2 linked regions of the Drosophila melanogaster genome follow. Changing the gene in region 1 together with any one later gene gives a genetic interaction. Each region holds a gene or a part of one and is shown on either strand. Other genes may lie near its edges.

Region 1 (4,962 bases):
TGGGCCTGTCCAGGCGTAGGAGTGGAATCCGAGCTGGGTTCACGCTCTATCTTGTCCAGCTTTTTGTTCGCCTTTTGCTTTTTGGACTGCGAACGGGAGCTGGCATTACTGGAGTAATTGGAACTGGAGGCGGTGGTGGTGGGCGTGGAGTTCGAGGGTTCGGTGGTACTGGAATCGGCGGACTTGGCCAGGGGCATCTCTGCACTCACCGCCTCTTCGCTGGCGCAGTTGATGGTCAGGCTGGCTATGTTGCGCAGATTGATCGTGCCATTGCAATTGTTGATTGTGATTTTTGGCTTGAAGCGCTGTTTGCGACCCTTGCATTTCGGTGGTTCTTGTACGCTGCTCTTTGATTTGGCAGAGGTTTCTCGCCCCAAGCTGGAAACGGCTTCGGCAATCGAAGATTCCAACTCGTCATCCAGCTCCTCCAAGTTTAAGGGCGGCACATATGTATCCCTCTTGATCTTGGCCTTTTTTATCAGATCCTTTGCCTCCTGCAGTGTAATGTTGATAATGGAGCGCTTGGCATTATCTTCGACGAGACTTCTGTTGCGAGAGAAGTCGACCACAATGGCCTCTGGTGGGGCACCGTCTTCGTCCAGATCGAGATACGATACTTGCCCATCCTGCAGGCACTTGTACATGGTCTCGTGGTCATCTAGTGGCTCTATGTAGTCCTCGTTCCTCAAACCCGTGGTGCGGTAATCCTGCAGCGCCAACTGCATATCACTGTTGTCCAGCAGAAAGTGTCCGTAGCTTCGGATGGCTGTCAGTAGTTTCTCCTCCGCATCCTCGCTTTCCCCGGGAATGAAACGCACACCACTTTGATCTTTCTTGCCAACCGAGTTCGAGTTCTCCATTTCGGTGGGCGACTTCTTCAGCAGCTGCTGCTGCTGTCGCGTGTTCGCTATGACCTCCAGTTGCCGGAGCAGCAACTTCTCGCGCATATGCAACGCAGCACGGATTTCATTGAACTTCTTTTGTACGGTGTCTTTGACCTGGGCGATGAAAAATTGGGGCGTGTATCAGTAAACAGCAGTCAAAACACACAGTCCATTCGGTTTTAGGGGGCTGAATATAAAAAAAGGAGAGTACAAACACAAACCTCATCCAGATTCTTGTCCATTTCGTGCGTGCTACTAAATACTTTCTCCTTTCTAAACGCTGCGCATTTTTTTTCATAAATTCCTGTGTATCAATATTTTTTGTTTGATCGATCAGCTGAGTTGCGGAGTGCCCGCCGCTTTTAGCTAATAAAAAACCAGAGGCTCACAAGGACTGGTACTTGTAACTGGTCACACTTTACATTTGGCGGGAAAATTGAATTTGCAAGTTTGATAAGAACATATTTCATATTAAGTATTATTTTGGCTTTATGCCAAAGATTCTGGTAAAGTTGTATTTAGTAAAAACACTTTCATATTCCTCATTAACGATCTTTCTGTTTTACTACAAAAGCACAAGCAAAATCTAGCAAAATAATATAGGCAGCTCTTTAAAATTGATGAAAGGCTTTGTGTTTTATTTATTAAATTATTTAATTATTATTTATTTATTTAAATTATTTAAAATATTTTGCCGGGTTGTTCAAACTTTTAACGTTAGCGGAAGTGCAAGCGCTGCCACCTTGTTGCTGCGCTTAACAGAGAGATCATACTTATACCGCTACGACACTACATTGTGGAGTCCAGTACAATGGAAGGAATTGGGTTTTAAGATTTCAAAAGTCTGAATTGTTAGGGCAAACAATAAGCACAAAATTCCAGAGATGAACTAGTTTATGATTAATTAAGCTCTTTAGAAGCATATTAATTTATATATCAAATGTAGTGGTGTCACAAGCACTTGAGCGGCTTAAAAGTGTGTGACCGTATGGCAACAGTAGAACAATCCACATTACAGAGCTCTGTTAGCATTGCAGAAGTGTTTTAACACACCCGAAATTCGGACACACCGTCGTCAGTTTGTTTTCATTTCAACTTTGCGTCGGGTTCACTCCAATTTTCGCACCGGAGGCGCGCATTTCAATTAAATTCGGGAGAGCGCTGAATGCGCACGCTGTTTCCCTAAAAGTTCAAATATTTAAAGACGAAAAACATTGGTAAATTATTTTGGTTATCCTATAAAAAAAATAAAAGATTCGCACTTGTGTTGAAAATACATCGGTAAATCCGATAAATCGCCGGGAAAATATGAAGAGATTTTGGCGCTAAATGTGTTCAAAAACAACTATTAATATAAACGTTTTTAAAATATTGTTGTGTGTAAAAATATAGATTGAAGAATTGACGTTCAAAAGCAAAAGCAAAACAAATCGAAAATCACCGCTTCCACGTATTTCTCAGCTGTCTTTGTCTTTGGCTCTGCCGTCTCTTTTCCACACGTCGCGGCGCCCTCAAGTGTTTGGTTTTGTAATTGCCTTTGCTTCGCGAAACTGTGCTGATTTAAATGTTTTTTTATGTACCGTTCTTAAAGTATTATTTCCCCAAATGCAGTTGAAACATAACAATTGTCGCGTGGCTTTTGCAGCGATGAGCAGAGAGAAAAAAGCAGCCGTGTTTAAATAACAATAGTCATCGCTTATTGTTGTTGCCCCAACTAATTTGAACTGTGCATGTGTGTGCGAGTCTGATTGTGCTTGTGTGAGAAGGCGCGTTGGCGTTTGTTGTTGTTGTTTTTTCTTTGCTCAGCAGCTCAGCACAAAAAATCCGAATGAAAGAAATATTCAGAGAATTTTGAGTTTGTTTCTCGTTCTTCCTGCCAAAGAGAGAGAAGCATAAAAAGAAGCAACAAACAAGACAAAACAATAAAAAAAAATCAAGGGAAACACAACACACATGCAAAGCAACAAAAGAAAAGGCAAATAAAAGAGAGCGAGAGAGCGCGAATTGTGTCAGTGACGCCAAAAAATTTAAAAATATCAATAATGCCCACCAGTGTTTTATTTTCGTTTCGCCAAACGGTTTATAATTAATTAACTGCAACTATATTTAATTGGTTTTGTGTCGGCATAGTTTTTATTGCTCTTTCGATTGTGTTTCCGCTGCATTTGCCGTCGTTCTGCCTTTGCGATTGCGAGACTGTCTTTGCAAATTGTCTTTGCGTCGGCGGGTCGTGACTGGATTCCATTGAATATTTTACAAACAGATGATGCATGTGGTTGTGTACGTATGTTTGTTTGTTTGTCGCCTTTAAAACCACATGTGCTTGGGTTGATTTCCTTAAAAATATGCTCTATAGGAATACAGTTAGTTGCTGCTTTTCGCTTTCTTGACTAGCATTTTTTTTATCGCGTCTAGCTTTCCGGTTTTTCCCTTTTCTCTCCCCTTTTTTTTAGTTCCATCTTGTTATCATCGCTAAAAACCTGTTTTGTTTTGTTTTTTTTTTTTTTTTACTTTTTTTTACCTGGTCTCCGGGTTTTTAAATTCGAAATTACCTCATTTTACACCTCAATCGCGGGGTGCTTTTCATTTAGTCGCTGCGACTAACCCACTAAATTGAATCATTTTTATTTCACCCGGATTTGTAGGTCGTCGAAATGTTGTTACACTTTCGGCGATTTCAAGATATCGCGTAAATATTTATCAGAAACGAAAATTCAGAAGTGTAAATATGCGATTATTGAAATCAAGTCTATAAACATCCACAACTGAGCCACCAAAAATTGTTTATTTTCCTGGAATTTTTACCTGTTTAGGGAAAGCAATAAAATGCGCAAGTAAACATGTAATATATAAATATGAAATATGTATATTTTAATGTACAGCAAATATCCGCAAAATTGACTTATTAATTAAATATAAAACTAGCATTGAAAATATTAAATATTCCAACATTGAAAACAGCACAGTTATAACACCTTAACTACAAAGTAAACTCGACAACCAAATGAAGACAAACCAATATCTACTGTATATTATTTTAAAAACTGTATAATCCACAACTATTTTAACCGAAAATCTGTAAAAAGAAGTCCATTAAACTATATTTTCGTGAAATTAACGCGTGTAATCGAAAAGCATTCGAGTACTTAATCATCATCGAAGGCGAATGTCGAAAAGTGTTCCGAGGTCAATGTTTCTGTTTCTGCTGCTGGCAACTCATCGCCTAAATTAAGTACACAATCTGCAGCGAGGTGAGTTTTATTCAGATATATATATATATATTACATACTACACCCCTGACCCTGGCCCCACTTATTTTGGAGTATTTCGAAATGCCTCCCACTTGTATTTGCTGCCCCATTGAGAGTTACTCGTAACTCCCTCTATATTTGTATATTTACCACTATACCACTATCTGTCTGCGAATCGTGTGAAATTGTGTGAAATACTTGCGATATTGTCGACATTGTGCGATGAGTAAGTTCAATACAAGTGGGCTAAGTACACACACAAAGCAACTTGAATGGAGACGCTAAACATTTTCTACATACTAACTAAAGCAAATACATCAAATGAACTACGCAATTATTTGCCTGGTAATATCAATAGGCTAATTTTTATAGGACTTCAACATTTTCACATCAGCTTTCTTCATGAAAATTTTGAAAACTTGCCTAAACATCGTGAATGCTGATTTACTATCAATGTTGCTATCAATCTCGAACTTTATTAATACTCAGTTTTTATATATGTTTCACTTCTTATCGAATCAAGATTGCCATGTCAGATAACTTACTTAACTTTTCTAGACATTGAACATTATTTTTTAGGTTCAAGGGAGAGTTCTATGTACTTATAAGTAAGGCATTAATTATGTAAATTAATAAATGATGTATCCACAGTATTTATTTGTTAATGCTCGAGCAAATAAAAGTCGTTAATAAATTCCATTTCGCAAATAATGAGCTCAGCAAGCATTTAACTCTTAATTTTTTTTTATTTATCATTCGATTTCTGTTGCGAAAATTGCAATATTCGGTTGATTTACGTTAATTTTGCATCTTTGTTGCCGTCGATA
Region 2 (4,062 bases), on another chromosome or scaffold:
GGGCGAGGAGCACCCACTCGATTCGCCCACCCAACCACCTCCTGCCCCGCCCACTGGCCGCCCCTTTTTGTGAATGGCATCCGAGGAGTGGAGGACTGCGCAGAATCCTCTCTATCGATTAAAGCCCAACGCAGACAGCTCTCTCTAATAAAACTTGGGATAGGGCATGGGGATGGGTTTCTGGGATGTGCGATGTGGGCTGTGGGATGGATGATGTGATGCGGATGTGGAATCAACTGCGTAGTAGTCAAAAGTCAAGTTGAAGGGGGTCTTTTGGGGGTGTGGCACCTGCTGCTGATGCTGCCACGCCACTGCTGCTGGTGGGATAATGTTCGAGATGCTTAATGCGCAATTTAGTTTGGGGTATGTGCACATGGGGATACGACGAAGTGTAGGTCAGTTTGGACACTTTCTCTCTTTGGACCCATCCTCTCTTGCTGAGACTCTTTGTTTCCTTGCCCTTTCCATCGAAATTCTCTCGCTGAATTATAATCGAAAATTGCATGCGAAAGTTTTATCCTTGGCACCAAAATAGTGCATTGGCCCCTCTTTTTTCAATGCTGTCCAATAGCGCAAGTGACGCTCGCTAAGAATGACGAGGTCTCAGTGGGGCAGAGGGTTTTAAATGCACTCTGAATTAAATGTATATATTATGTTTATACTACTAAAAGTATTGCTTAAAAAATCCAGATATCTCTAACCTATTATGTTCTATTACATTACAAAATTCACATATATTTGGACTTTTAGTTACATCACTATAATACAATATAAAGTTTTAAATAGAGCTCAGTAGACTTTGGATATACAGCCATTACTATCTAGTAAAGTAACACCTTCCAAACACAATTCATAGCGCCTGGAGCTAACTCAAATCTATCATTCGTTCACATTTTGTATACGACTAAAATGGTGGTTGTACAGGGAATGTACGAAGTCACGGAGCTGGTGGCTGGCAGCGTGGGATGCGTGTGTCTATACATCGCCGGATGCAATGTGCTGCCCATGGAGCATATTCCCGATCTTCCGTCGGCGCTGTTCGTCCTGACCGCCGTGCTTTTTCTCCATCATCTGAGGGTAATGAATTGCGCACCGCTGCAGAAGCTTTGGCTTTTGCTGCTGGAACTGTTGGTCTTCTATATGTGCACCCAGGTCGTGGTGCTTGTGTGGCTCCAGTTGCTCAGCCATATGAATAAACTGCGGGACAATGCAGTTAATACTCGTACCGGCATGTACCTTTTTGAAGCCTATCCAAAAGTCTTTATGTTTTTGCGCCAAGATGTCTACTATTTGGGGCAGCTTATCATGTCCGTGGCGTGCACCTACAAGGCGATAATGGTCACTCATGCCCTGGACTACGCCCTACCAAATCGCCGGACGTACAGATACTATGAGACAGATGAGAACTTAGGCGATGGTCCGCGGCGTCCTACCCGAAAGAGCAACCAGCGATCAACACCCAAGAAGAGCACCGTGCGTGGTCGCAAAAAATAGAAGCTGTCGCAGAAACTGGATCAATCAAATCGCCCAATCTAAACACAGTTTTTCTATGCTTTCGATCATTGAATTAGCCCACAAAACACGCGTAATAAATTATCAAGGTAAACGGCGGCCCGGGTGCATTGCACCCAAATCGAAGGTGCTGCTCAAGAGCAGTTTACGCTTTACTAGAAATTTGCATGCTTGAAAGAGCAGAGCCAACACGTACACACAAAACCAACTTATTTTCAAATTTTGGCGCCTCGCGACAATCGATTAACGGACAACATCATCAAGATCAGCCAATCGTATGAATTCCACCTCTAACACCAGAGAATATTGAGAAGAAGAAGAGCGTTGTGTCGGATCTAAACAATAAAGAAATTAAGCAATTAGCCGAAATTTTGTTGTTTTTCGGTTGAAGGGGGTTTAATTCCGAGTGGGGGGAAGAGATGGCATTTCTTTGCCCCGTGCGCATGAGGCGCGACAAGAAGAAAGGTGTGTTCATAGAAAGCGGAAGAAGCAGCACGGAAACAAAAGACTTCAATCACGAACTTGTTGTAGGAACTTAAAAAAATTGAAATTGTTTAAATCTGTTTATTGGTGCATTTATTTTGTATATCAATGTACAAGAATTCTTTTTGAATTAAATATTTGTATTCAAGTTTTTTTTCTTGAAACTATATTATGATTGAATGCATAAGATATACATTTTATTTTAAATTTAATTAAATACGACATATATTGTACCTAAATAAGCATTTTCAAAATACTCCCTTTTCAGCTACAAATGCCAGCATTGAGAGGGACTTACCAGCTGTGGGTGTATTGGGCATGGGCCGCATAACTGGTTCCTCCAGCATTGAAACACTTGTAAGAGTGGGCATTGAAAAGGAACACGGTCTAAGGTAAGTCGATCCCATCCATTATCAGTTTAAATAGTCTGTACAATATTAATTCTATTTTAGTCCTGATTCCAAGATGGTTGTGCTGCACGACTTTACTCCTTGCGTGGATGATGAACTAGAGGTGAAGCGTGGACAGCTGGTTAATATCTTGTACAGAGAGAACGATTGGGTCTACGTGATTGGTCAGGACTCTAGGCAGGAGGGTTTCATACCCTTCTCTTATTGTGCTCCCTGCAACACGCAACTGGCGGATTTGGCTGTTAAGAAGAAACTGCCAAGGGAACAGTGTCCAGAGCAGCCGATCGAAGAGAATATACCACTTTTGGGCACGGATAACAAGCTGGATGTTCTTTGCGATGAAACCTTGAATCCTGGCTCCGCCAACAGCATAGAGAACACCCTGCTGGTGGAGCCAGAGTGTACTCCTTTCGTGAAGGAACCCTCCGGGCGCTGTATCGTCTTGTACACCTTTATAGCCAGGGACGAGAATGATTTGTCTGTGGAACGGGGTGAATTTGTTACCGTGCTAAATCGCGAGGATCCCGATTGGTTTTGGATAATGCGCAGTGATGGCCAGGAAGGATTTGTGCCAGCCAGCTTTATTTATCCTGCAGACAGTGTACGAGTTTTGCAGCAACAGAAAGCCACTTTAAATGCCATGGAGACCATTTTGCAGCAGGGTCAACAAGGTCAGCAGAGCCAGCAACAGCAGCAGCCTCAATTGGGCTTGGGAACAGATGATCTACGCTACCATGGCACGGAGCTGGTGATGCTGTATGATTACAAAGCGCAAGCTCCAGACGATCTGTACCTTTCTGTGCGGAGAGGAGATTGGATTTACGCAGACTTAACCAATCAGACTGTTGATGGCTGGCTTTGGGCTTATGCTCCGAAAACCCGCAAATATGGATTCATCCCGAAAGCCTATGCCCGACCACCCGCGATGACCAGCCTTTAAGAAATAGATTCAATACCATAATCGTTTTAATTATCACTTCGACTAACACTAAAGCGTAATATTCGTAAGTCTTCCAAACACAGTCGAATTGCATTTCGAAAAGCGTTTCTTTGTGGCTTGGATATTTTTATCTTGAACACTAAATTAATTTTCAACTCATAAATGCCATTTTCATTGAGTAATAAATTGTGCCTTAGATTTATTTTGTATGTGAGTTTGCATAACATATCGTATACACTTAGTCTAGTGATTTCATTCTTAACTGTAAGTGCCTCGTAAACGAATATCAAAAATATCTACTATCGTATTCCATATAGTACCAGCGTGGGCAGCACTTTGCTAGCATCTAGGTCTAGATATGAATACTAAAGCACTGTAGGGGCCAACCCCTCGATATGCACTTGGTTTGTATTATTGTATTGGATTTGCATCCAAGCGGCGCAGTTGCGTAGAGTTATGCTCAGCATAATGTTGTACGCACACGCACGTCCAACTGGATTTTGGTTATCACCTCCGATTGGCGAAGGTCTACTTTATTCCCAAACTGTCGCTAGCTGAGGAGCAGTGCGAGCAATTAAGCTCCATATTTCTGTAGAGAGAGATTGGCTAATGAGATTTTTGCATTTGTAAAAGAAATTGTTATCCTACTTCATAGCTTCTCTCAGCTGCTCCTTCTCGTTCATCTCCTCGCGCAGTTTCTGCTGCAAACTGAGAATG

The links. A genetic interaction does not mean that the proteins touch.
Region 2: of app (region 1) and Dlish, changing one enhances a phenotype caused by changing the other (phenotypic enhancement), as found in Drosophila melanogaster (one study listed by BioGRID).

The regions. Positions count from the first base shown.
Region 1 is NT_037436.4:12,263,794-12,268,755, reverse strand, and holds the start of app (approximated), read left to right. Parts: upstream 1-1,914; 5' UTR 1,915-2,101; intron 2,102-3,009; exon of another isoform or gene 3,010-3,164; intron 3,165-3,845; 5' UTR 3,846-4,135; intron 4,136-4,962. Other genes in the region: CG32100 (uncharacterized protein), read right to left, coding at 1-998, 1,106-1,126. UniProt on the Drosophila melanogaster protein: Palmitoylates Dlish which is required for the apical cell cortex localization, total cellular level and full activity of dachs.
Region 2 is NT_033778.4:17,721,509-17,725,570, forward strand, and holds Dlish (dachs ligand with SH3s), read left to right. Parts: upstream 1-1,800; 5' UTR 1,801-1,931; coding exon 1,932-1,977; intron 1,978-2,263; coding exon 2,264-2,387; intron 2,388-2,447; coding exon 2,448-3,345; 3' UTR 3,346-3,548; downstream 3,549-4,062. Other genes in the region: CG10934 (uncharacterized protein), read left to right, coding at 910-1,494; Snx16 (sorting nexin 16), read right to left, coding at 3,874-3,934, 3,994-4,062. UniProt on the Drosophila melanogaster protein: Required for the apical cell cortex localization, total cellular level and full activity of dachs.